Mus musculus: one gene and its partners. The protein of the gene in region 4 interacts with the protein of the main gene of each other region in a biochemical or structural test. Links are inferred from orthologs where the notes say so. Each region holds a gene or a part of one and is shown on either strand. Other genes may lie near its edges. The genes, in order: Tns3, Fgr, Syk, Erbb2, Supt6, Rasa1 and Abl2.

Region 1 (3,500 bases), about 90 Mb from region 4:
CTGTCTGTCCCATCCCATGCCTGGGTCTGAGATGAGCCATCCTAACTCTTGTGTGAAATCTGTCTGAAAGCTTCCTGGAGCAAACATGGTACACGGTGTACTGAGGTTGTAAGATGTGGTTGCAAGTGGGCCAGCCTCAGGCACAGGTGGCTGACCTGCTTCAGGAATGTGCTTGCCTTGCAAGGCTAGGAAGTGTGGTTGGGAGGCACCTGGGACTCAGGCAGAGCACAGCTCCCAAACCTGGGGGTGCTGACAGGGCTTCTGTGAGGGAGTGGGAGAGTAAGTGACATCACATAGAACGTCTAGGATTCCCGCCTAAGAAGCTCAACAGAACCTTACTGCGGGGACGTATGGCCTTTATCATGAAGCACTCACTCAGACCTGGCTGCTGAGGACTACCAGGTCTGACTTAGGAACATCAGTTAGTGACATATCAGGAAAAGACTTCTAATGTCTGGGAATGTATCCTTCCTTGGGCAGCCTTCAGACTAAGTCTGAGAATAAACGAACAAAATAGAGGCTATGTGAATAGCAGATGTCAGAAAACCCAGCATGGTGGTCTCCACTGGCTGAAATACAGTCTCGACTCTGTGTGTATACCTAGGCCTGGGTTTGACATTTGTATTTCCCAGTCCAACGATAGATTTGAGCGAAGAGTTTACCAAATGAGTGAAGAGCCAGTTAGTCACTGAGCCACCTCCAGTCAATTTGAGATGAGACAGCTGTGGTCATTCTAGACTCTGTGTTCCAAAACACCCTTGGCAGCAGGATCTTCACGGGGCCATTTTCCACAAGTAGAATCCAGACCTTCAGTGGGTTTTCTCATTAGGCTGGAAGCCCCACACCTTCTCTTCCCACAGAGGAAGTGTCATATTTTGTTCCCTCTGTTTTATGTGTCAGACTTTCATGGAATCCCTGCAGGTTTGACTGCCCCTAGGAAATGCTAACATGTACTGCCGCTAATGTGTGGTGTTGATCAGCATCATTGGAGCCTAATGCAGCTCAGGATCTCTCATCATAAATGGCCCCAAACAGATATGGCGACGGTTTCTGATTATTTTCAGATTTCAAAATATTTGTACACTAATAATGAGGTATCTTGGGAATGAGGCTTAAGTCTTTTTTAAAAATTATTTCTTTATTATTTTATTTGTGTGATATTTTTCCTTGTATATCTGACTGCATAAATTTGTACATGTCTAGTATGCATGGAGGCCTGAAGAGGGTGTCAGATACCCTGAAAATGGAGTTACAGACAGTTGTGAGCTGTCATGTGGCTGCTGGGAATACAACCTGGGAGACCCAAGTCCTAAGATTAAATTCATTTACATCTCCTATAGAATTCATATACATTCCATATATTTTGAAAGTAATGTTATGCAATATTTTCCATTATTTCGTTCATGAAACAAAGTTTCGTGGTGTGGAATCTTCCATTTATGGCCTCATACTGGGGCTCAAAATTTGCCAGGTTTTATTCAGCTTATACAGACTAGAGTCTGGCAACCTCTCCCGAATCGCAAATTTAGTAGGTCTTGCTTTATATCAATTATACTGAGAGGCTAGGTCTCAGAGTGCTAAAGACAGCAATTAAGGAGAGAGATGCAGTACACAGGGTGTCTACTGACTTTAGCAGCTTGGGGCAGTGACTTCTTTTCTCCTGGTTCAGTTTGTACTTTTCCATTCAGTTGCTTCTTCTCTTTCGGTTCAGCAGCTGGCTTGAACACAAGTGTCCTGTTTACTAGCAGTTTGGTAGAATGCTGCCCCTACATAGCAGACTGCTTGTTGCTGCAGGCGTTTCTGTACCCAGCTGGCGGTTCCACCTCACCCAGAGGGCTGGCATCCTTCCAGCTCTGTACTGAAGTCTTTTCTGCCGGAGCCTCGGTGGCCTTTCCTCTCTTGGAGGAATGCAGCTGGTGCTCCAAGGCCAGGGTCTTTCTAAGCTGCCAGTTCATCCCGTCTCTGGGAGTTTCTGGAGTTCCGCCTGAGGGTGTCTGTCTCTCAGGGACTCTTAAGTCTTACTATCCACCTGCCTTGTGGCCCCGCCCACTGACCATCCCAGGAGTGGTTCTGGGAGTGGCCCAGTAGTGCAGTGGTTTAATCCTAGTTAGAGGGAGCCTTCTTAAGTGTAGCCCTTAGATTTGATATCTGCAGGAGGCAGATATAAAAGCTTGTCTGTCTGTCTGTCTGTCTGTCTTCTATATAGTTCTCTCTCTTTTTTCTCTACCCTCGATCCCTACTTTGATTCTCTTACATTTTAAATTTAAAACAATAAATTTTTATTCTTCCCGCAGCTGGAGATTTGTCCAATGAACTTGTCCGGCATTTCCTGATTGAGTGTACCCCAAAGGGAGTGCGGTTGAAAGGGTGCTCAAATGAACCATATTTTGGTGAGTTACTTGAGAAGCTCTTTTGAATTTCTAGAGCATAGATTCCCTCCTTCAGGTGGCTTGAGATTCGAGGGACTCTGTACCACAATGGGTTTCTCTCCTTTCAGCCCCAGGGTGTCAGGCTGCCACGTGAGGTCTTTAAGATAAGCTGAAGGGGCAGTTGTTCTTTAGAAGCCTTGTCAAAAACCAAATAAACGGAAGGGATCCTCCGAGAGCTAGAATAAGACAAGGTGAAGGTCAGCAGCTGGGTCCCAGCAGGGTTGGAGCGCAGTGTGTCCCCATGCCTCAGGCACAAGGAGGAGGAGCACAGTGCTGCCACCAGAGCTCCCCCTTCTTTGTGAATTGAGAGCCTTCTGGATAGACCGGGGCAGCCTTGTTTCCTACTCGTAAGAAGCGCCCCGGCACTTCGCACTTATAAAGGCCATATGCTTGGCATACACTACAGGTCCCTCCATCACCCTCTTCATTGGCTTGGGCCTTGTCATTCTTGGAGCTTTGAGTCACATCCCACAGTGGTATAAAGGCATGCGTTTTTGGAATTTTGGTCTCAACTGATTCTTTGGTTAAGCACAGAGCAAGTGAAGAGATTGGTGACATTCATTTACTCTTATCCACTTTATAGGGAGCCTGACGGCTTTGGTGTGCCAGCATTCCATTACGCCCTTGGCTTTACCCTGCAAGCTGCTCATTCCGGAGAGAGGTATGTGGAGGAGTTCTCAGTGCTATCTGGCTGCGTGTACGATCTTCTGTACCGCTGATAGCATGCTGTACCCAGGACCCACCTTACAAAATAAACTAAGGTTCTTTTTTTATGACATATACTCTTAAACCCCAAAGAAAACTAGTGGCCACCTGAATTGAGAAAGAAGAATGCCCTGCTGCTGATAATAGCTTTCAGACATTGCCCATCGTGGCCTGTATGGAAGGTGTCCAGAAAACAAAGACTGCTCAGCTTAAAGATGTAAAACACTTGGGGTCTGGAGAGATGGTTCAGTGGTTAAAAGCACTGACTGCTTTCCCAGAGGTCCTGAGTTCAATTCCCAGCACTTACATTAGGCAGCTTACGACCATGTAAAACTGTAGTTGTAGAAGATCTAGTCTCCTTGGGCA
Region 2 (3,500 bases), on a different chromosome or scaffold from region 4:
AGGCCAATAGAAGAGAAGTCTGGGAAATGACGCCTGCTGGTCCAGCTTACCTGGGCAGCCATGTCCACTAGATGGGGCAGCATCAAGTTCTGACCTTCTCGATCCTTTAGGAAATCCAGCAAGCTACCTAGGGGGAAGCAGCCAGAAAATCAGCAGCAAGCCCCTACCTCCAGCAAGCCTTCTTACACTGGCCTTGCCCTTACCCAGCCAGTCTAGCCTCACTTTGCCCCCCTCTCTCCCGGTTCTTTCACCTAGATCAATCTTCCTGCTCTGACTCCACCTCCGAACCCCTGGACACGACCCACTTAGACTCCTCTCCAGGTCGGCTCTCCATTCCCAGAGCTTGCCTGGTATGCTCAAAGATATCCACATGTTGGCTAAGCACCTTCTGTCAAGAGGAGGCCCCGCCCCCCGCAACAGTCCCCGCCCCTAACCACTCCCCCTACCCCCTGGAACTATACAGTTTCTAGTTCCTTTGCAGGTCCCTGGTCCCACCCATCCAAATCCTGCCTGTCCCCCTCACCATAGCACATGAACTCTGTCACAATATAAATGGGTTCCTCCGACACCACCGCATACAGCTGCACCAGCTTGTCGTGCCTCAGCAGCTTCATGATCTGTGCCTCCTCCAGGAATGCCTTCGGGGACATGGTGCCCGGCTTCAGCGTCTTCACTGCCACCTTTGTGCTGCAGTTCCATGTGCCTGCTCAGTGGCCGTATACTCATCAAGACTGGCTCCCCGCAAGTCCTGTGCCTTTTCCCAGACCCCAGACAACCTCCCAGCATCCTCCATCCCCATCCCCACCCCCATCTCCTACCCAGCCACACATCTCCAAAGCAGCCGGTGCCCAGCCTGCGTTCCAGTGCTATGGAGTTCCGGTCGATCTCCCAGGCATCCTTGGCCAGGCCTAGAGTCTGGGGCTTAGTGGTGGTACAAGGCGCCGTAAGCAAGTAGCACAGACCATCATTCACTTCTGTAGGAAGGGCAGATGGAAGGAGGTCACAGATGGAAAGTTATGGATACTCTCTCCGAAACGCAGCCCAGCATCAGACCCCAAGCTTAGCTGCCATAAATAATCAGGGCCTAGTGGAATACTCATGCTGGTAATTCCAGCACACAGTAGGCTGAGGAAAGAGAAAGGAGTTTGATTCTAGCCTAGGCTACAGGGTCTTTCTCTCTCTTTTTGTTTTAAGAGATTTATTTATTTTATGAATATGAGTACACTGTAGCTGTCTTCAGACACACCAGAAGAGGGCATCACATCCCATTACAGATGGTTGTGAGCCACCATGTGGTTGCTGGGAGTTGAACTCAGGACCTTTGGAAGAGCAGTCAGTGCTCCTAACCTCTGAGCCATCTCTCCAGGCCCAGGCTACAGGGTCTTAAATAAATAAATAAATAAATAAACCCAGAGAAACGAAAATAGTTTACAGTTTGTCTTCACAAGCCAGGATTAAAAGAAAAGAAAGAAAGAAACAAACAAAGAAAGAAGAGCCAGGCACAGACAGTGGTGGAACACAACTTTAATCTCAGCACTCAGGAGGCAGAGGCCAGCCTGGTCTACAGAGTGAGTTCCAGGACAGCCAGGGCTACACAGAGAAACCCTGTCTTGAAAAACAGAAGATAAAAAGGTTCCTATTTGAGCTCACAGCCAGGAAAGAAGACAGTTCAGCCCTCTGAGAACTTGTCTGTGCCCAAGGAAGGGCAGTAAGTATACAAAAGAGAGATGACCCCCGTGGAAACTTTATGGGTCTTCCGAGGAGGTGGCCTCCAGCCAGGTCTTTGAGGACAAGGACTAGTTCTGACAGGTAAAAACAGAGGTAAGGTTCTGAGGCGAAACTGTGGACATGAGTCCGTTCCTGCCGCAGATCTCATCCTGGGCCTAACCAGTCAAGATGGGGACGAGAGGCACTGAAGGTGCCTGGTCTCCATGCTGGGTTTTACTCCTGGATGGACCATAACTGCTTAACCCCACAGGAGGCCTCGGTCAGGTCAGGTCCTTGCTGCCTCCTGCTCAGGCTCAGAATCATTGGCTTCTGCTTGTTTGCTGTCACCACATGGAAAATGACCGCAGCTGTCCAAGGGACCGCTCCTTCAGCCTTGTCCCCGACGTCCAGGTAGCACACAACAGCCAGAGAGTCTCCACAAAGCTCTGATCAGCTTCTGCAACCCACTGCTTAGAGCAGCAGTTCTCAATCTGTGGGACATGACCCCTCTGGGGTCGCATATCAGATATCCTGCCTATCAGAGATTTACATTACAATTCATAACAGTAGCAAGATTACCGTTATAAAGTAGCAATGAAATAATTTTATCGTTGGAAGGGTCACCATGAGGAACTGTATTAAAAGGTGGCAGCATTAGGAAAGTTAAGAACTGCTGGCTTAGAGCCTATGATAGATAATGACTCTGCCTAGGAAGTACAACAGGGCCAGCAAGGTGGCTCAGCAGGTAAGGTGTGAGCCAGCAGCCAACCTAGCCACCCGGGTTTAGTCTCTGGGACCTATATGGCAGAAGGAAAGGACTTACTTCCACAAGTTGTCCTCTGATTTAGACACACACAACGAGAGAGACAGAAAGAGACAGAGAGACAGTGAGACAGAGAGATAGAGAGAGAGAACAACAAATGCCCCACAAAGTTTCCATACACTGAATAGACCGAAGCCAGCAAGATTTTGCTCGGCAGGTAAAGACGGTGTCTGCTGGCAACCCCAATGACCCGAGTTCCATCCCCAGGACCCACTTGGCTGAAGGAGAGAATCAACTTCCACGAGTTGTACTCTGACACGCATGAGCCCCCCCCCCAAAAAAAAATGTAAAATTTTCAAAAGTTCCCCAGGCTTAGGCCTGGAAGCAAGATTAGGAGGCATTGCTTGCTCTCCGTCTGCTCAGACTCCACACAGAGCAGAATCCTGGCCTAAGGACGCATGTACGTGGCCCAGCCACTACTTCTTTAGGAGATTTTTGTTCTCCAGGCCTCAGTCTCCCCGTCATGACAACACGGTCAGTCACACTTAGCAGCTCACCCATGTAGTGCCGCACTAGGTCCTGTATGGAGTCAAACTGGGCCCGTGTGGTGATGTAGTAGCCGCCCGTGTCCAGCTTTCGGATCTTATAATGCTTTATGTGATCGCCTCTGTTCTGGTCCCAGTCACGGATGGACAGGGAGTAGGCCCCTGGGTGGAAAGGGTCCTTTAGTTCTCGTCTCCCTCAGAGCAGGAGGAGGCCCCCAAAGGAATTCCCAGAGCCCAGCTTAGCTCTGCCCCTCCACTTGGCCCTGACCCAAGCACTGACCAGCCCACTGTCCTTATTGTCTGGTGGCATGTCTGCCGTACCAACCCACCTTTGGTGGTCTCGCTTTCCCGAATGAGAAAGGCCCCCTGGGGGTTACCAGAGGACAGAAGCTGCCTCTCTGCATCCTTTCTACTGATCTTTCCGAAGTACCACCTGTTAGGAAAAGCAGGCAGAACCAGGCACATTCATTCCAAACGCCAGTTCA
Region 3 (3,500 bases), on a different chromosome or scaffold from region 4:
GTGGCCCGTGAAGTGGTACGCCCCCGAATGCATCAACTACTACAAGTTCTCCAGTAAGAGTGACGTCTGGAGCTTCGGAGTCCTGATGTGGGAAGCGTTCTCCTATGGGCAGAAGCCCTACAGAGTGAGCCATGCTTAGCTGTGTGTTTTGTGTCTCAGCCTCTTGGACTTAAGAAACCATCCCTCAGTATGGGGTTATTGCCACAAGAACCTGAACCCCTGGAATCTGAGGACACCCTGGGGTCTCCCATCACCTTCTAACAGTGGGCGGCTAGTGCAACCTAACTTACGCTTGTACTCACTTGAGAATGACATGTGATACTGAGTGAATGCATTCTCACTGTGCTACACACATACGTGCACCAGGCACAGGCCATCCTTCCTGAGAGTTAAGTGGAAATGGTGATACGGATGGATGACATCAAGTATTTTAGTTGTAAGCGTGTGTGTTCTCATGTGTGTGCACACCTGTGTATGTGCAAACACATTGTGTGTGTGTGTGTGTGTGTGTGTGTGTGTGTGTGTGTGTGTAGCCCAGAGACCATCCTCAGGTGTCATTCCTCAGGGACTCTCCACTTTGCTTTTTGAGACAGTGTTTTCATTAGCCTAAGCTCACCCAATAGGCCAGGCTGGCTAGCCTGTGAGCCCCAGGGATCTGCCTGTCTCTCTACCCAGCACTGGGCACACAAACATTCAATACCACGCTTGTATTTTTACATGGGTTTAGGGGATTTAACTCAGGTTCTTGTGTTTGCAAGGTGAGCACTTTGCAGCCTGAACTATCCCATGTGTGTGTGTGTGTGTGTGTGTGTGTGTGTGTGTGTGTGTGTATAGGAGGTGGGAGGTGTGGGGGTTCCTGGGTGCAGGCAGATCCTAGGGTGTCACTCAGTGGGTTGTCACAAATGAAGTGTCCCATAAAGCTCATTCCCTAAATGAAGAATCAGAACAGAAACTCTAGAGCCTCCCCTCTCCCCTACACACCCAGCCCTCTCACTGGGCAGCCACATCTGACTCTCGGATTCCAGAGGAGGGGCCCCTAGTCTTATGACTGATGTCGCTTGAAATCAAGCAGCTTGTGTCTGTGTCCCAGTGTGTCTGCAGGTGAGGTACTCTTGTTTGTATGTGTTTTGAAAGCTTGTGTGCATTTTCACGTCTCAGGGGATGAAAGGGAGCGAAGTGACCGCCATGCTGGAGAAAGGAGAGCGGATGGGGTGCCCTGCAGGATGCCCGAGAGAGATGTACGACCTGATGAACCTGTGCTGGACTTACGAGTGAGTGCCCAGCCCTTCCTGCCATCGACCCGAAGGTTCCAGAAGTGGGCTGTGTGGCTGCTGTCCTTGCTTCATTTCTGCCGCTGTGATAAAATGCTCACAAGAAAGTCAGGGCGGTTGAAACTTAACCCATTTGATGCTCTCACAACACATCAGAGAGCTGTGCACAGTTCCGGTGCTCAGTTCTCTTATCTCCTTTCTTAGAAAGTCCAGGATTCCCCGGTCCAACAGCAACCCGTGGTAGCCTGAGTCTTCACACAATCAAGCCAATTCCCCAACAGGCCAACCTGTTGGAGACAGGCCCTTGTTGAGCCTCTCTTCCCAAGCCGTTCCAGACTGTGTAGAGTTGACAATTAAAACGAGCCACAGCTGCTGTTATGGAGTTTGTGATCCCTGGGAAGAGACCACAGGCTCGATCCAATTATAATTAAAAGCTGTATCGATTAGCTGCCAGCAGGATGAACAATCTCTGAGCCAATTTTTGAAATTGCTGTGAAGGAGGGATATGAGGAAGGGTTTGTTGTTGAGGGTTTTTATTTGTTTGTTTGTTTGTTGTTTTTTAAGAGGAAAACCATGGAAAGACCTCCCATATCTAAACAGGCAACCAAAAATTGGTCTGTTCTCCCAAGTTAATTGGCCAAAGCAACTCAAAACAATCTTCGGGTATCTGCATAAGCAAGTTACAGAAGCTAAAAAGGCAGTTAGTCATGGCATGGCAAGTAGCCAGTCACATCTGTACCCTTTAGGGTGGAGATCACAAGTCGGGGTAACTGGGAATGTATCTTCCAGGGACTGGAGTCAGAGACAAAAAACACCTAGAAGGTACCAAGATGGATGCCTGATTTGAGCCATCACACTGGGTATTAAAATGAAGCGTGAGTTCTCTTGATGCATCAGGAATGTGCCACCTTCTATGTAAATCATCACAGGAGGCGGTGCCAGAGATTGGCTGTGTTACTAGCCAATCATGGTGTTTCATGGCAGGCATACTACTATATGCATTTTGTAACTGTGGGGATGTCATAAAGCATACGTAAGCAAACTAGGGCAGCTGCAAAGTCGCCAGCTGTTACAATCTTATGAGACTGTGATGTGGATTGGGAGAAGTCACAGAATCCCAGATGTCAACTCAAGCATCTAGAACACTCTTGCCTTCCACAAACTCAGACATGTCTGGGAGCATCACTGCTTCCAAGAATCCTAACATCGAGGCTAGATGCTCCTGCTGACCACAGACAGCTCAGTACCAGAAGTCTCCCGATAGTGGTGCAGAGTTGCCACTTGCCACGTTCACCACTGCTCAGCCCATAGGGTCGGAAGCCCCATCCCTATTCTTGGGTACAGTGTATTTTGCCTTCCCCTCCATCCCCTGAGCAGGACAGACACCGTGCACGTGGTGAGAGCGTGAATCCACTGTGAGCCACTGGGCATGCTCTGCCCTACCTATGGGAAGGATCCCAGCCACCGTGATAAAGCTGTTCGGTGCTAGTGAGGCACTCGATGTTAGAAAGCTGACATTGAATGTAGCCATACATTTTTTTTGCAACGTATTTTTAATAAAGGTTCAACCTCCCCTCTAGCCCGCCACTCAGCAGAGGTAGCAGAAGATAAAAGTTATTCGGCTATGGGGGAAGTGGACCTGTTCAGCAATAGTTCTTTGGGGGGCGAGCTTGATCCTCTTGGGCAGCAGCTCAGCCCTGTAGCAAACACCAAATGTGATTCAGCAGCTGCAGACCAGTCCGCTAGGCAGGCAGACACCAGGCATGAACCAGCAGCTACAGTTAAGTCTTTTCATCGCTTGCTTTCATCGCTTGCTTGCCTCAGCATCTAACCTGTAGGCGACAGCACAGACTTGCTGGGCAAAGACTTAGGATGCACAGGGTTGGGCTCTGAACCAGACCACAGCCACAGAAATCTGTGAGTTCTAGCAAGAGCACAAACCAATACCCCCTCTCCTTGAAAGTCCAGCTTGAACGTGGGTATGGTATATTACAGCTGTGTCCATATTCTCCTCTTAAGATTTTTAGCCAAGGGACTAAGGAGATGGCTCTGTTGGTAAAGAGTTACTGTTGTGTAACTCTAGGGACCTGACTTCAGTCCCTAGTACCCATATAAAATACACCAGGCCTGGTGGCAAGTGCTTGTGGTCCCAGCACCAGCAAGGAAGATGGAGACAGGAAAATCTCAGATGCTTTCTGGTCAGCCAGCCTTGCCAACTTGACAAGTTCT
Region 4 (4,265 bases):
ATTTATAATGTTGTATTCTTTCTCTTTGAGTACCTCAAATTGATCCCCACAAACACCCCATCTGCCCCAGAATGGCTAAATCTGGGATCATTTACTGAGCAGTTATTATGTGTCAAGCACTACACTGCTGAGTGCTTCTAGAGTGTCTTCTCCTTTAGCCCCTAGCACACACAGTCTTACAGATTTGTAAAACAAGACCCAGAGATCGTCAGTCACTTGCCTAAGGTCTCACTGCCAGAATGTGATAGAGGGAAGATACGAACTCAGGTCTTCTAGATACCAGAGTCCCATGTTCTTTGGCCCCTAGCGTGGAAGTGTCTGCCTGAAACTGAGTTTCAGTTCAATGAAAGTAGATTAAGAGAGGGCCACCCTTCATTTCTCTCCCCCAAAGATGCCTCTGATTGCATCTTGACCAGCACAGGTGTGTTCTTTACTGGAACATTCCAAGTACCATCATCAGATGTAGCAGATAAAGAAGAAGGACGTAATGAAGTTCAATTTGAATTTCAGATAAACGACGGGCAATTCATCCTGGTAAACATGTCTCTTGCAATGTGTTCTTGGAGTTTCCAACCAAAGGCATACCTTTGTTTCCTTTCTCACCTGTTACCAGGCTTCAGGAGTGATATCTAGGTACTTCAGGGGTAAACTGGCAGGCGAAAAGGACAGGGAGAGAGAGGACGATGAATGAAACTGAGAACTGGGTAAAGTCAGAACGAAGTGGGCATGGGGTTGGAGAGATGGCTAAGCAGTTGAGAGCCTGTGCTGCTCTTGCAGAGGACCCAAGTTCTGTTTCCAGCACCAAAGTGGGTGGGCGGCACCCTGTAACTCCAGCTCTGGGGGATTCCCACTTCCTCTTCTGACCTCTGTGGGCAACAGCACTTATGTGACACCCCCCAAAACCCATATATGACCACACATAATTTGAAATAAAAATAAGTCTTAAAAAGAGAAAGAAACAGGAGAAGCTGTTCTTCCAAGGATGAACAGAGGGCTCCCGATGTGACTCGCTTCTCCTAGTTCTGTGGGTTCCTTTAAGATCAGGCAGGAGATACCCAAAAGGACAGAATTGATATCCCAGAGAGTCTTGGAAGTCACCAGTTAGACATAACACATTCCCTTCCCAGGCTGATTTTACCTGAGGATGTGGCGACAAACCATTTATCTGGTATTAAGAGTGTGATGCAAACGTTCCAAGAGTATCCAAGATAAAACCCACCCAAGACTGCAAAGAGGGGTAAAGAGATGCCCTGCTTTTAGGAAGTGGGTGAGAACTGCAAGCAAGCAAGCGAGGCGTCAGGGCACAGGGCGCGACGCACCCAGGCCTGCGCCGGGAGGGAGAAAGTGAAGCTGGGAGCAGCCACTCCCAGTCTTGCTGGAATGCAGTTGGAGGGGTGGGGGGGCGAGCCGGGAGCGCGCGGCTCCCAATCACCGGCGGCGGAGGAGGCGGAGGAGGAGGGCTGCTCGAGGAAGTGCGGCGTGAAGTTGTGGAGCTGAGATTGCCCGCCGCTGGGGACCCGGAGCCCAGGAGCGCCCCTTCCCAGGCGGCCCCTTCCGGCGCCGCGCCTGTGCCTGCCCTCGCCGCGCCCCGCGCCCGCAGCCTGGTCCAGCCTGAGCCATGGGGCCGGAGCCGCAGTGATCATCATGGAGCTGGCGGCCTGGTGCCGTTGGGGGTTCCTCCTCGCCCTCCTGTCCCCCGGAGCCGCGGGTACCCAAGGTGGGTCTTGGCTTGGGGAGGGCTCGGGCCGCTACGGCTGCGCCCACGGGCGGCCGGAGCCGCGGGGCCCCGAGAGCTCCACGGCCGGGCGGTCCGGGACGTTGGGACGATTCCGGCTACCGGCGCCGCGGCCCGGAGGAGATCGGAGCAGTTGGGGATGGGACAGTCACTCGGAGAACCACACTGGAGGTCCGGACCGGCCCCTTCTCGCTACACCGGAGCCTCCCGGGCTCCAGGAGACTCCGGGAACTCCTTGGGAAAGTTCTCTGAAACTAGTCGGAAAGTTTTCCTCCGGAGGGTGTGTGAAGCGCTGTGCGTGCGTGCGCCTGCTTCCCCCCTTTCGAGCCCCCCTCACGCTTTCTCAGAGCTCTTCCAGTTGGCAGCCTCCGCCTCCGGACCGGACTGGGCAGGATGCCTTCGGGGTCCCCTCTGCCCCTCCCCTCCCCCTTCCCACCCCCTCTGGCCCTTTGGGTTTAGTAAGTTACTCCAGCTTCCAGTGGGGTCGCCGTGGAGGGGGCGGTGGGGAAAGTAACCCATCCTGTCGAGCAGGGAGGACCGAGTGGCGGCTCCGCAGTTGAGTTGCCTATCGATAGTGTCTGGGATATGGGGGAGCAGGAGGAGGGGCAGGCATTTGTTTGCAACAGTTCTCTCTCATTCTCTCTCTCTCTCTCTCTCTCTCTCTCTCTCTCTCTCTCTCTCTCTCTCTCTCTCTCTCTCTTCTGTGCTGGGGATGGAACACCCCTACCCTCCATCCCAGTCTCGCCCGTGTTAGGCAAGCCCTCTATCACAGTGCTGCACACTCCACAGCCCTGTTTTGAACAAATTTCCTTAGAGCCAGCTTAAGTACTGTGTGCTTTGGGATTCCGGGAAGGCTCGGATCTTGAAGGGTGGTCTTGTGTTTTCCCGGCTTCCATACAATAAACTGGAAAGGGTTCCTGGGCATTTGGGGGCGGGGGGAGGGCACCGAAAAGGAGTAAGGTCAGCTAGGGGTAGACAGAGAGCTGGGTTGTTTTCTTGCCTTTATCTTCGTGTTGGGGGCTGGGAGGGTGACCCAGCAGTGTGTATACTGACCCATATGTCCAGTTCTACCATGAGCGTAAAAGCTGACAGTCACCCCGTGTGGGTCAGCTCTGCCAGGCTCCGTGGGTGGTGGCTTGCATGCATTCCTTCTACAGTACTAAGAACAACTCCACAGTGGAAACATTAGTAGCCTTCTCCTTGTCCCAGGGGGGAAACCTGGGCTGGGGAAATGAAGTATCCTGGAGTAACTGGTGGATCCCAGGCAATGTGACCAGCCACAGGATATGATATATGATTCACATAAATACGAGTCTAGCTGAGCAGTGCGGAGACACTGCTTCCGTAATCAGTGGGCTGTATTGAAGATGCAGAACACAGGTTCTGGAAACAGTAGGTGCTCTCCAGAGGCCAGCGAGCCTGGAGGCTGGTGGAGTATCACCATCTGTGCCCCCTTGCCCCCCTCTCCTGCCCCAGTTCCTGACAGCACACTGCTGTGCTCACTGTGGGATACCCCTGTGTGTCTGAGGTTTTTATGATGGTTGTGTGTTCCTCCCAGTTTCTGTTGCCAAACAGCAGTCTCTCTGCTGACTTGGGGACACAGGATGAACTCTGCCCTCTCTAGGAACTTCCTCAAGGCACTGGGCTCTATCTGTTGTAAACACTGGGAGATGCCCCTTGCCTTCTTCAGGATGGAGTCTCCTTTCAGTTTCTCAGGAGGCCAGCCTTCCTGCTGACTTTCCGTGCAGAAGAGTGAGGTTAGACCCTTCACCTGAGCTGGGTAGGGTCTGCAGTTGACCAGAAGTGGCCCTGTGCTGTAGAGCTGGAATCTGAAGGGTCTGCTCTCCAGACAGGGAGTGGAGGGCTGCTGAGCCTTCATCCCTTCAGATGCACTGCTGGATGCAGAGGGACAAGGCAGAGTTTGCCTTGCCAGGAATGGTTAAAAGGGCAGGGCACCATCAGCTGCCTCTAGCTCCAGGTTCGACCCCAGAACTGGTCTTGGGCAGGTGTGTAGGGGAAAGGAGATCTGGGGAGACCCAGAGGATCAAGCTGTTGCTGGGTTCCTCAGTACTAAAGGTTTTGTGAAATGCAGTAAACACAGGTCTTTAACTTGGCAGGGGTCATTCCTATTTCAATTCTAGTCTGAGTCTCTCCAGGCCCTTCCTACCTTTTGTTATACATACGGGGACTAAATAGATTCCTCTTGCAGAAGACCTGGGGCTCAGTTCCCAGTTCTCACCTGGTGGCTCACAACCATTCATAACTCCAATTCTAGATTGGATGCTTAATTCTGACCTCCACAGGCACCAGGCATGTGTGTTAGTGCAGACACAAGGGCAGGCAAGAGACACACATCAAGTAAAATTAACCCTAACAAGAAAAGAGAGAAATATATTGCATCTCAAAATCAAATGGAAAAGGCTTTCTCTTTTCTCCTGTAATTACCCAGATCCCACTAAGTGCTTGTCTCCCGTTTTAAAAACTTCTTTCTGCTTCTTACATGCCAGATCATTTTCCATAGATGGTTTTG
Region 5 (4,056 bases), about 20 Mb from region 4:
TGTCTACAGCCCCAGCTACGTGGAGGCTAAGGAAAGAGGACTGCTCGGATCCAGGACTGATGGGCATTAGTTTGATCAGTATGATTATATTTTTAACTTTAACCTTTGGGGAGTGAGGAACTAGCAGTATGCCTAAGGAGAAGTAAGGCAGCCCACACACACCAAAGGCCAGTGAGACGACTCAGCCAGCAAAAATACCTGCCACTCAACTACGTATACAGGAGAACTACATAAAAATGCAGTCATTTTTCTAAGACTAAAAAGGAGCAGCTAGTTCAATAGAGTAAAATCCAAGAGCCAAGCATTAGCAACTGTACTAGTCCAGAGACTCGGAAATGAAAACAGAGTAACCATTGGATTTGGCCACCTAGTAGCTTCTGGTGTCCACAATAATTTTGGTGAGCAGTTCCAAGGAGAGTCAGATTGGTATTAACTAAAGTCCTGGTGAAAGGTAAGAAAGTTGAACTGGTATAAACTGAAACCTGACTATAGGATGAAAATCTTAAAATTAGGGTGCTGAAGCTATGCTTAGTAGTAACAGCACATGTTTATACTTCTAGCACTGGGGAGGCTGAGGCGGAGTGACCACAACTCCTACGTCAGCCTAGGCTACCTGTCAAGGAAGATGATGGCTGGAGTGGCCTTTCAGAGAGATTAGAACAGAATTTTGGTTTTGATTTTTTTTTTGGTTTTTTTTTTGGTTTGGTTTGGTTTGGTCTTTTCTGAAACATAGGATTTGGTGATTGATATTGGGAAATCATTGTGAGGAAGCCAGTGATCACACCCGACCCAGATGGTGATTACATTTATTAGGAACAAGAATATTGCTGGATGGTGGTGGCACAAGCCTTTAGTCCCCAGTACTCAGGAAGCAGATCTCTGTGGATTCAAGGACAACTAGAAAGAGTGATTCTGTCTTCAAAAACCAAAAAAAGAACTAGAGGGAGTAAATAAGCTTTGATTGGATTTTAGGACTGTTCTACTTTCTGGCTTGATATATCACTTGGTAAGTAAGATTAAGTTCATTTGGAGAGTGTTAATTCTTTGCCAGTCTAAGCTAGGCAGTGGTGGTGCATGCCTTTAATCCCAGCACTTGGGAGGCAGAGGCAGGCGGATTTCTGAGTTCGAGGCCAGCCTGGTCTACAGAGTCAGTTTCAGGACAGCCAGGGCTATACAGAGAAACCCTGTCTTGAAAAAAATAAAAACAACAAAAAATACTTTACCAATCTAATCTAGTCTAATCTAATAGTCACACAAGCCAACCAAATAAAATAAGCCTGTAGTGGTGGGACACTAGGCATGGAGAGGGGCTCTAAACTCGTGGTTGAAGGGAGAGCTGTTTTTGAGACAGGGTCTACAAATGCAACCAAAACGTAAATTCCATGATCCTCCTGGCTCAGCTTCTCCATTGTTGCTATAATTGTTTTGTAACTAAAACACTGAAGACTCACAAACTGTGAGTGTTCAACAATAGAACTAAACTTTTTCTCCCCAAAATTAATTAAATTCAACGACTTCCACACATTGTAGCATACTTCAATGCTGGGGAGGGGGACCAGGCTCCTCCCTTCCTACAGGTTTATGGGCAGTTAACGGTTGCTAGGGGGGAGGGGCTCATCATGAGATCCCACCAACCCTAAGGATCGATAGTAATTCATGGTTGCTGGGGGAGGGGAACATTTTCTTTAGGGTTGTAGCCCAGGCTTCTCTGAATACTTCTTCACCCATGTACTTGTAAACCACCATAAATTAACTAATTGAGGCATACACACACACACACACACACACACACAAATTAATGAAAGTAATAAGTAATGGAGGATTCTGAAGAAGGGGAGCAGCGGGAATGGAGTGGGGCGGGATGAAAAACAAATTACCCTATGACCTTTGTATTACCGTGTCTTTTCATGTAATTATTACAGGAGACCCGCCTCCTAAAGGAAAACAGAAATCGATTCTTTCTGTAATACAGAGGAACTGCTTTACTTAAGATACTCGAGTACCTGATGTCAAACAATACACATTTCTGATTTAACAACCAATTCTAATATTTATGATAGGTCTTTGGCAAGTGTTCGAGGAAATGAATTATACAAGATGGAAGGCTCCAGGTACTTAAGTATAAACTCGCATCTTTAGAAAGGATTAAGGGACTTGCCCATATGTGGAAAAAAAACCGTATAATTACTCAACATTTTGTAAAGAGCTAACATTCAGCACAGTACACCCGCCTCATGGCTGAACTCTCGAAAGCTCAGCAGGACCCAAACGCCGGACTAATTAATCCGATCACCTGATGCCAAGTAAAGAAACCCTTAGGTCTCTCTTCTAGTCCCAATTTTTTGCGTGGCCCAGATTCCAGACGCCGCGGAGAAGATGGGATCCCAGAAAGCCTGTTGATTCAAGAGGTAACCCCAGGTCACAGGTTCCGGGTGGTACCGCGTGGAGAAAGGGCTGGAGACTCTGAGCAATCACGGTACTTTCCTGTCCTTTTCCCCCCTGGCAGATCAGGGAAAGCCAGGGCCCCCTTCCTTCCCGCAGTGGGGCACCCCAAAGCTTCTTCCCTTACGGGACCAGGCCCCAGGAGTCTGGCTCGCCACCTGCGCACCCACACACGCAACACACTCTCCAGGCTGAGCGTTACCTGCTTGAAGGCCGCTGCTTCTCCGCTACGCTAAGCTCCCACCGAAGAAAATGGAGTCGCCGATCAGAGACTGCAAAAGGATAGTCCGGACCCACCGCAAGGGCCCTCCGCAGCCGCCGCCACCACCACCACCACCGTCGCCGCTGCTGCGTTAACGTAGTACGTCACCTCCGGCTCTCTGTCACTGGGAGTGGGAGGGTCATTTCCTGCTGTCTTTTCCCCTCCGGCGTCTAGGGCTTTGGTTCCGAGTCCGCGAACGCCTAAGGAACGCAGCCGCCACAGAGCACCCAGTACAAAGTGAGGTCCCGAAGGCCTCCCGGGCCAGCGTGTTCTTTAAGCCGCTCTCGCCAAAGGAACCATAAAGATTCAGGTTAAGGAGTCTTCTCTTCCATCTTGGCGTAGTTCTACCCTCGGCTTCCGGTTCCGGGGACGGGCCTAATTTTCTTGGATGATTAGTTCTCTCGGATCTAGGATGGCTGTCTTGTCGCTTCTGTTGTTGGGTGGTTTGTGGAGCGCTGTGGGAGCGTCCAACATGGCTGTCGTTACTTGCGGCTCCGTGGTGAAGCTACTCAATACACGCCACAATGTCCGACTGCATTCTCACGACGTGCGCTATGGGTCAGGTACAGAGGGGGACTCACCGCTCTGGGTGGGCTGCCTAGGCCGGGTGAGCCTAGAAGGGGCGGGGCCTCGGAGTCTGAGGGCGTGGTCTGGGAAAGTTAGCCGTGCCCTATTTCTTGAAGAGGACGACGAGTTGCCAAGGAAACTTAGTCCTAATGTTAGTTTCTGTTTGATGAGCTGTGGGCCAAACGTGTTACATATATACTTTCCGGTTTTTAACATTGTATTGAGGACAGATACTAAAGTTATTTTCTTAGGTGAGTAAATAGACCTAGAGATATTGCTCAAAGCCAGCTAGTGAATGATGGAGACAGGGTTTAATCCAAATCTGTGCAGGTTCAAAATCTTTCAGATTCCATGGGCTGCCACTATTTTGTGCTGGAGAGAGGAGCATTTAGAGCAAGACAACATAAGCTGAATCTCAGATTTTAAATGTCACCTATTTTTAGCTCATATTTTTTGACACTCTAACTTAGCAATAACTTTCTTGTAAAGAATTTAAGCATTGACAGACATTGCAGAGGAAAGTCTGTTTTTTATCATGTGCAATTAAAATACTCACTTATTCGTGGGCTCATTCATTTGGCCTAGATTTAAAGAGCACTTTTAGTGTGTCTCGTATTGTTCTAGATACAGGAAATACAGTAGTGAATCAAACAATAAAACAAGACTAATGGGCAGGCGTGGTGGCCTAGGTCTGTAATTGTAGCACTCAAAAGGTTGAAGCAGGATTGTAACTTCAAGATCAGCCTAGCCTATATAGTGGGGGCTGTCTCAAAACAACAGAAGTT
Region 6 (3,500 bases), on a different chromosome or scaffold from region 4:
GCTGAGGCATAAATGTAATGGGGAATAAAAACAAACTGATAGATAGATAGATAGATAGACAGACAGACAGACAGATAGAACATAGGTAGATTAGGTAGAGTAGGATTGATAGATATAGATAATAAAAGCACACAAATTATGAGAGAAATCTCTACTTTCTCAGAATTTTTTAAAAAAATAATCTAGTTTTTCTCTTGTAATTTTCACTGTAGCCACACTGATACAAACCTTGGGAATAGATAAGCCATCCCATGGGAAAATAACAGATCGAGTATTAAATACAACTTTATATGCCTATAATATTCTCTCAAATTCAAAATCTTTCCAAGTTTAAAAGCAATGAATCTTCATTGTCTACCTCTTTTCAAATGCTACATAAAAAAACACTATAAAATACCTTATTTCATCAGTGTCTGGTACTTTTGTGTAGGGCAGAATGGCTCGTACACGCCTTCTATCTTCTACTGGCTGAAACCATGAAAAGTAAAAATAATTAGGAGCTGGTAGATGCTTCATGTCTCCATAGCTAAATCTCCAGTCTCACAAGCTTGAAAATCCAAGCTGGATCTACAGAGCCCACATAAAAGTTATGACAGGTATGGCAGCTGCCTGTAATGCCAGCATTTAGGAGGAACGAACAGGGGTACCTGAGGCAAACGATCAAGCCAAACTAACCAAATTTAAAAGCTCTAGTTTCATCCAGAGACTTTGCTTCAAGTAATCAAGTAGAGAGCAATCAAGAGTGACATGTTGTCAAATTCTAGCCACCAGTAATAAGTTTGCACGTGCACTCCTTCCTTGACACACATGCAAGCCTGTATACACAGTCACAGACATATACAAACACCCATGCACACAAAAGAAGATTGTTTCTGTAAATCAAAAAAGATAAATTCACACAAAGCTTGAAGTCAATATAGCTGCATACTATAAATTCCATAGTCACTGTAATCTTTACTGAGCATCTACATAGAACCTAGACATGTTTCTGCTCTTCCTTGATATTTTTAGAAAAATTACTCTACACGCATAACACATTTTCTTCGGGTAATCTAAACAATCCTTAAATAAGCTACAGAGAACATAGAAATTAATCTACCTTTTATGATATAAACATTTACCTTCTCTAGCAATTATTATAAGCTATAAACACAAAATTATCTTTAAAAGTCCAGTTACTTAAATACAAATATTAGTTTTGAAGGAAACTATCATTTTTTTTGTTCTAGAATTATAACTAGAATTAAAACAAATATTTATTAAATTCTAATACATGTAAGAAATTTGGTAAGATTACAATCCATCGATTTTGTAAACTAAAAGTTGTGATATATCATGCGAGTTTTACTTACCTCTGGTGGTGCAACTGGATAGAGTAATTTTTCTCCTTTAAGTAAACAAGAAACGTGACTGTAATAACCTATTAGGTCTGAGAGTGAAGAAAAACGCCTTCCACCAATGTAGTAATCACCACACATAGCAATAATCCTATAGTAAATGAAACAAAACAAACAAATAAATAAATAAAAACAAAAAACATAGTTTGCAAAGGATCTTAAAAGCCAGTCTTTTATAGTCTCTTTTCTGAATATGATCAATTTCATACTCTTTTCCATTAATATAACATTTCTATATTTTAAAAATACATATTTATATCATCAGAAATTGAGTATTATTTTAAAATATTTATGAATTTGATATGACATATTTACAAGCCTCAATTATGTAGTTGAATCAAATATTTGAAAATTTACCCTCAGATATCTCTCTTTACTTTCTATTTTTAATACTCAACAATTGTATAAGGGCTTCTTTGACTACAAGTAGCTTGCATATCTTTTGAAATTTATGTGAACTGTAATAAAAATGTTACATAAAAATTATGATCGGATATTACTGATGTGAAATTATATATGTGAACTTATCACAACAATGACAGTACCCTTAAAACTTATTCTAAAATGTAAAGACACAAGAACATTTTATCAGTTAAAACTAGCTACAGATGATTTATGTTTTATTTTTCTCCCATATTTTCATTTCACAAAAATGAAATGCAGTAGTATCGGTAAGTATACTTATATATAGATATACCTTTGAAATTTTACATACCTGTTTATCTCACAGAAGTGAAAATGTATCTTAAGAATTTCAAGATAGTGAGACTTAAAAAAAAAACTAAGGACAACCTCAACGTCCATACAGTATTTTCTGTTACTCTACAGTCTCAATCTATACATCTTTCATTTTAGTTTTTACCTTTTCAAAATGTATCTGTAGTAATATATTCCTTAATTGTACATATATTTGAAAACTGCCATTGTAAAAGGCAATATTACTACCTTTTTTGGGGGGGTTATAAAATGTAGTTTTATTTTATGGTACTCTGCTGCTGCATAGGGCATAACATTTTCACAAGGCTTTTTTGGGACTACAGTCAATGATTAGCCAACACCCAACATAGTGGTCCAAGTCTCTAAAGAATAATTGCTGGGCAAACCAGATACCCTCTCACATGTGCACAAATCTGCATGGAAAAGTACTAAAGTTTAGACTTGGACTTGTGTACTTTATTTCTCCTTTCTAGTGTATTAAGACTGGGAAGAGAGGCCCCTTGGTCTTGCAAACTTTATATGCCCCAATACAGGGGAATGCAAGGGCCAAGAAGTGGGAGTGGGTGGGTAGAGGAGCAGGGCAGAGGGAGGGTATAAGGAACTTTCGGGATAGCATTTGAAATGTATATAAAGAAAATATCTAATAAATAAATAAATAGAAATACTAATCCAAAAAAAAAAAAAAAAAAAAAAGGACGTGCATTTTAATTTGCCCAAAGCAATGCTTGTATTCTGGCAGCAACATGCTACTTCTATCACAAAGCTAACAAAGGCAGGAGGTGTAAGTGAATTTTTATTGGGAAGGAATTGTCAACTTAAACTGTAGTGAATGAAGAATGCATAAAGAGACTCCCTGTTGTCACAGACAGATGTAACCTCCAGATTATGTGATGCAGGAGACATTTCAATCTGTGATCTCCAAGCCCGGATGCATTAAGCGCTTTCCCATTCAATATTACTACCTTTAAACAAAAAGTTTAAACACGTCAAGAGTATTTACTCTAAATCACTGATTAAAGAATTTAATTGAAATCAAGTTTATTATACCAAAGTCATTCACTTTTATAAAAGTGAATATATATATATGTGTGTACATGTATATATATATATATATGTACATGTATATATATATATATATATATATATATATATATATATATATCAGAGTAAATACTAAGTGCCATATTAAATACCTTAAACTAGGAACAAAGACTTACCTAAAATGATTGACAACATTTGTCTGACTAAGGAATGAAAGTACAAAGGACCCCGGCCTCCGATCACTCTCTCTTATAAGATAGCTTCCAGATTTCCCTGCCTGCCTGAGGCGTTCTTCTGCTATAGTTCTATCAAGTTTTCCATGATACCACCTAGGGAAAAAACACA
Region 7 (4,280 bases), on a different chromosome or scaffold from region 4:
CCAGAGTCCTCCTTGTGCTGGATGCCTGGGCTCGTGGGAGAGCACCGGTCTAGCTTAGATGAGGCCCTCAAGTTTAATCCCCTGGAGCACCCGTGCGCCCCCCCCCCAAATTAAAAAGGATTTACTGTATTTCTTCCAGTTTTTATTAATTTTTTTACACTAGTCTTGGGCTACCATATTCACATCCTATCCATCAGCTTTTAACTTTCAACTTTGTCAATAAAATCGTTATTATCCCAGTTACCCAGGTTGAAAACCTTCATGGTAATTTTAACACATCCTCATTTTTTATAATTAGAATACTGGTGAAAACAGGTAAGACCAGGTTGGCCCTGAACTCTTTTTTTTTTTTTTTTTTTTTTGGTTTTTCGAGACAGGGTTTCTCTGTGTAGCCCTGGCTGTCCTGGAACTCACTTTGTAGACCAGGCTGGTCTCGAACTCAGAAATTCGCCTGCCTCTGCCTTCCAAGTGCTGGGATGTGCACTACCACGCCCGGTGGCCCTGAACTCTTAAGAGACCCTTCTGTCTCTGTCTCCCAAGTGCTGATATTAAAGTTGCGTACTATTATACTTGCCCCAAACTGAATTCATATGTGCAAGAATGCTGTTAACCAGTCCTGAGAACCTGGGTTCAGTTACCAGCACCCACAGAGCAGCTCACAACCATCAATCTACAGGAAGAGACCTAACGCCCTCCTCCTTGCCTATACGGCATCAGGTATGTATATGTACATGCAGCAAAACACACACACATGTAAAATTACATTTTGCTTTTACAAATTAAAAAAGGAAAAGGGAAACAAAATTTGTCTATTCCTAAGTCCAAATGCAGAACTCGGACACAACTCACCCAGCAGCTACAAGTCTTGGGATCATCTCTTTGCATGCTATCGTCACTTCCTTTGAAACGCCCTTTCCCGTGACTAGTCTACACTTCTTCTCCTTCCCTTTCCCCGAGCTATGTGCAGCGGGACAGTTTATCCTTCACTTCACTCCTGTACATATTATCAATGAAACCAGCTTGCTACCTCTGCTAGCCGGTCCTTCCTACAGATATTACATCTCCATCACCAGCCTCTCAGGTCTTAGGATGGCTTCTGATATTTTTCTCCTTCTCTATTCTGCCCTCCTCTAGAACAATGCTCTTAAAAATGGTCAACAACACACTATGGAAGAACAAAAGAATCCACTTGGCATCAAGGGGAAAAAATATTCATTCATTCTTCTTCTTCTTCTTCTTCTTCTTCTTCTTCTTCTTCGATACTGGGGCTTGAACTCAGGCCTCACATAAGCTGTGTACACTGTCACTAATTTACAAGGCTCTATACTTAATTTTCCTCATGGCACCCTTTCTTATACTCTATTTCTGACCGTTGATTACATTATTTGTTAATTACTATAACCTTGTCTATATTAATAAAGACACACAAATTAAGAGTATGTGCTCAAAATTTGTATTTACTAGAGTTCAGGCACTTGCCCCCAAGCCTGATAAAGAGTTTAATACCTGGGAGAAATGACTCCCCAAGTTGTCTCCTGACCTCTGCATACATGGGTGTGTGCGCACATACACATACACACAAAATAAATATAATTTTAAATAGTTTAGAAACAGCCCTTCTGAAGAATATGACACCGAGTAAGTCCCAGACTATGCGGAGCACATATGTATACACCAATGCAGCTCAAAGAAAAACTCATGTTCAGACCACATGGAAGGAAGCCCTAACCATGCCCACCCATCGACAGCCCCGCCAGCCATCTCAGAATCCTGTGTCCTACTCGGATAGGCAGAACAGGGTGGTTTGGCAAAGCCTTTCATTTCTAGTTTGGAGAAAATACTCTGTTGAAAGTAAAAAGATACGGAAAAGGGTTTCACAGTTCACCATTCTGACACTGCTCACCGCCTGGTTCATAAAGCACATACCGAATATGCCACCACAATCTCTTAAAGATTCAGTACCTATTTCCCAATTCCTCAGGGCACGACTCGTTCCCGTCGTTCACAACCGGTTTATCCTCCCACCTCCTGAACCTGAGCTCATACCTGCCTTCATCCTTCCCTCCCTGGGGATACCATCCACAGTTCCACAGTCGCCCCGTCCTGTCCCAGGATAGCAGGACAGTCAAGCCTGGGTCCCTAAGACCCCGGTTCGTGCTCGCCGCCGCCGCCGCCCCCAGACGCTGCCAGCCAGGCGGGGGGAGGGGTGTGCCTCGCCTCCCGTGACTGGCCCAGATGGCAGCCGATTCCGCCCCCACTCGCGGGCACCCCTCCAGCCCTCGCCCCCCGAAGGCTGCCCATCCGCCTCGCACCTCGCCCCGACCCCACCCCACCCCTCCCCGGCCTCCCTCATGCCCTCCACCGGCTCCGGACACACTCACCGTGCTGGGTGAAGACGTTGAAGCCGGCGTCTGCGGTACGCCCCGCCGGGTCCCGCCTGCGGCCCGAGGGCCTGGCTGCGCTGCTGCCCCGGATCCCGCGCGGCTGCGGCTGCTGGAGCCCCGGAGCCTCCCCGACGCGGCCCACCTGCTGCCCCATCCCGCCGCTCGCGTACTCCCGCGCCCCCGCCGACCCTTGCTCACATTCCTCCTCTGCTCCGGCCTCCGGAGCTCCTGGCGCCGCTCCGGTCTCTCCGGCCCAAGCCCAGGCCCTCTGGGCCGGAGTTGCCGGCGGCTCCCACGCGGACTCCTCGGAGCCGCTGCCGCGCTGCCTCCCAGCGACTCACAGACTCTCCTTCTCCCTCCCCCTCCGGCGGCTCCTCGCCCCAGCCGCCGCCGCCATCTTTAAACCACCGAGCACAGGGCGAGCGTGGGACAGAGCGTCTCCCGCCCCCCTCTCGCCCAAGCACCTCCGCTACTCGGTGGGCGGAGCTCGGCGGAGCCCCGCCCCGCGCCGCGCCCCGCTGGGTGGAAGCCGGGGCCCACAGGGTCAGCGAAGCTTTCGAGGGCCCTCGAGTGCTTTTACTGCTACCTTCACCCACGTTCGGCTCCACACACTGCCCCACTTGGAGGACTGTGGGCGCCCGGCCTTTCCCGTCCCACCTCCACCTGTCAAATCAGAAGAGGCTGAGAAGCCACCACGTGCGCCGCGCAGCTCAGCACCAAACAGCTGAGGCTCCTGATCCCTGGGCTTCGCTGCCATTCAATTGAGGAGCCCTTCACACACACTTAGCATTGGGCCCAGAATGAAGTTTGGAATGGTACAGAATTCACGGGGAGATGGTCAAGTGCGGGGTTAACTTAATTCGGTGAATTATTTCTTGATGTGCACTTTGCCGTCTTATTGGCAAAGCGGTTAGAACTCAATTCTTCATACTACCGTGGATTTCTCTTGAACTCTTCCACCATCGACCTACCCGCATGTGTTTCTGTTTACTTTAAAACGCCTGGTGGGGCGCTGGTGAGATGGCTCAGTGATTAAGAGCGCCGACTGCTCTTCCTAAAGGTCCCGAGTTCAAATCCCAGCAACCACATGGTGGCTCACAACCATCTGTAACAAAATCTGATGCCTTCTTCTGGAGTGTCTGAAGTCAGCTACAGTGTACTAACATATAATAAATAAATGAATCTTTAAAATAAATAAATAAATAAAATGCCTGACAGTAAAGCGACTCTTCTCACAGACATGCTTTCCTCTCAGTGCAGGTTGGGCCCTCCTTTTTGGCAAGGAAAAGATAAATCACTTTGACCTTGTTTCTGAGTCAAAACTTACTCATCTTCACCGTCTGGGGTCTAAATAGAGAAATGGACAGAAGAGAAGCTATTTTTATAGATGTACACCCTATGTGCCATGAGGACTGGAGCCATTGCTTAAACCAAGGAAAACCACCCTGGGGAAGAAAAGAATTAGCAAAATAGATATAATTCCCCATACATGTCTTTTGTAGAATGGTGTAAGATCACAAGTGCATGTGGGTGAGACTCAAACTCAGGACCTTGAGTTCCAGGTGAGTGCTCTACCACTTGCTACTACCGCCCCCCACTCCAGCTGATTTTGATATTCACTATTAAAGAGCCTTAGGAGCTGGGGAAAGATGGGTTAATGACAAAGAAGACTTGCACTGCAAGCCTGACCACCTGAACTTGCTGCCTAGGACCCACACAAGCAGCTACTGGTCATAGAGAAAAGCCAGATGCACCAGCCCAAGCTCTGTGATCCCAGCTGGTCCACAAGAAGGGGGGAGGCAGAGATAAGGGGGTCTCCAGAAACCTGGCTTACATGTGCAGTGGCTAAGGGACCCTGTCTTAAAAGAAGCAAGAACTGACAGTAAAAGTTGTCCT

The links.
Region 1: the proteins of Erbb2 (region 4) and Tns3 form a complex in vitro, tested with the Homo sapiens proteins (2 studies listed by BioGRID and IntAct, with this or other methods). The link is inferred for Mus musculus from reciprocal best matches to the Homo sapiens genes ERBB2 and TNS3.
Region 2: the proteins of Erbb2 (region 4) and Fgr form a complex in vitro, tested with the Homo sapiens proteins (2 studies listed by BioGRID and IntAct, with this or other methods). The link is inferred for Mus musculus from reciprocal best matches to the Homo sapiens genes ERBB2 and FGR.
Region 3: the proteins of Erbb2 (region 4) and Syk form a complex in vitro, tested with the Homo sapiens proteins (2 studies listed by BioGRID and IntAct, with this or other methods). The link is inferred for Mus musculus from reciprocal best matches to the Homo sapiens genes ERBB2 and SYK.
Region 5: the proteins of Erbb2 (region 4) and Supt6 form a complex in vitro, tested with the Homo sapiens proteins (2 studies listed by BioGRID and IntAct, with this or other methods). The link is inferred for Mus musculus from reciprocal best matches to the Homo sapiens genes ERBB2 and SUPT6H.
Region 6: the proteins of Erbb2 (region 4) and Rasa1 form a complex in vitro, tested with the Homo sapiens proteins (2 studies listed by BioGRID and IntAct, with this or other methods). The link is inferred for Mus musculus from reciprocal best matches to the Homo sapiens genes ERBB2 and RASA1.
Region 7: the proteins of Erbb2 (region 4) and Abl2 form a complex in vitro, tested with the Homo sapiens proteins (3 studies listed by BioGRID and IntAct, with this or other methods). The link is inferred for Mus musculus from reciprocal best matches to the Homo sapiens genes ERBB2 and ABL2.

The regions. Positions count from the first base shown.
Region 1 is NC_000077.6:8,444,536-8,448,035, reverse strand, and holds part of Tns3 (tensin-3), read left to right. Parts: intron 1-2,294; coding exon 2,295-2,390; intron 2,391-3,012; coding exon 3,013-3,090; intron 3,091-3,500. UniProt on the Homo sapiens protein: May act as a protein phosphatase and/or a lipid phosphatase. Involved in the dissociation of the integrin-tensin-actin complex. EGF activates TNS4 and down-regulates TNS3 which results in capping the tail of ITGB1.
Region 2 is NC_000070.6:132,994,595-132,998,094, reverse strand, and holds part of Fgr (tyrosine-protein kinase Fgr), read right to left. Parts: intron 3,449-3,500; coding exon 3,345-3,448; intron 3,178-3,344; coding exon 3,028-3,177; intron 975-3,027; coding exon 819-974; intron 704-818; coding exon 524-703; intron 128-523; coding exon 51-127; intron 1-50. UniProt on the Homo sapiens protein: Non-receptor tyrosine-protein kinase that transmits signals from cell surface receptors devoid of kinase activity and contributes to the regulation of immune responses, including neutrophil, monocyte, macrophage and mast cell functions, cytoskeleton remodeling in response to extracellular stimuli, phagocytosis, cell adhesion and migration.
Region 3 is NC_000079.6:52,641,882-52,645,381, forward strand, and holds part of Syk (tyrosine-protein kinase SYK), read left to right. Parts: coding exon 1-124; intron 125-1,158; coding exon 1,159-1,271; intron 1,272-3,500. UniProt on the Homo sapiens protein: Non-receptor tyrosine kinase which mediates signal transduction downstream of a variety of transmembrane receptors including classical immunoreceptors like the B-cell receptor (BCR).
Region 4 is NC_000077.6:98,411,019-98,415,283, forward strand, and holds the start of Erbb2 (receptor tyrosine-protein kinase erbB-2 precursor), read left to right. Parts: upstream 1-1,465; 5' UTR 1,466-1,644; coding exon 1,645-1,717; intron 1,718-4,265. UniProt on the Homo sapiens protein: Protein tyrosine kinase that is part of several cell surface receptor complexes, but that apparently needs a coreceptor for ligand binding. Essential component of a neuregulin-receptor complex, although neuregulins do not interact with it alone.
Region 5 is NC_000077.6:78,242,904-78,246,959, forward strand, and holds the start of Supt6 (transcription elongation factor SPT6), read right to left. Parts: upstream 2,801-4,056; 5' UTR 2,645-2,800; intron 1-2,644. Other genes in the region: Sdf2 (stromal cell-derived factor 2 isoform 1 precursor), read left to right, coding at 3,093-3,267.
Region 6 is NC_000079.6:85,254,987-85,258,486, forward strand, and holds part of Rasa1 (ras GTPase-activating protein 1), read right to left. Parts: intron 3,485-3,500; coding exon 3,332-3,484; intron 1,489-3,331; coding exon 1,353-1,488; intron 469-1,352; coding exon 398-468; intron 1-397. UniProt on the Homo sapiens protein: Inhibitory regulator of the Ras-cyclic AMP pathway. Stimulates the GTPase of normal but not oncogenic Ras p21; this stimulation may be further increased in the presence of NCK1.
Region 7 is NC_000067.6:156,557,307-156,561,586, reverse strand, and holds the start of Abl2 (tyrosine-protein kinase ABL2), read right to left. Parts: upstream 2,801-4,280; 5' UTR 2,539-2,800; coding exon 2,382-2,538; intron 1-2,381. UniProt on the Homo sapiens protein: Non-receptor tyrosine-protein kinase that plays an ABL1-overlapping role in key processes linked to cell growth and survival such as cytoskeleton remodeling in response to extracellular stimuli, cell motility and adhesion and receptor endocytosis.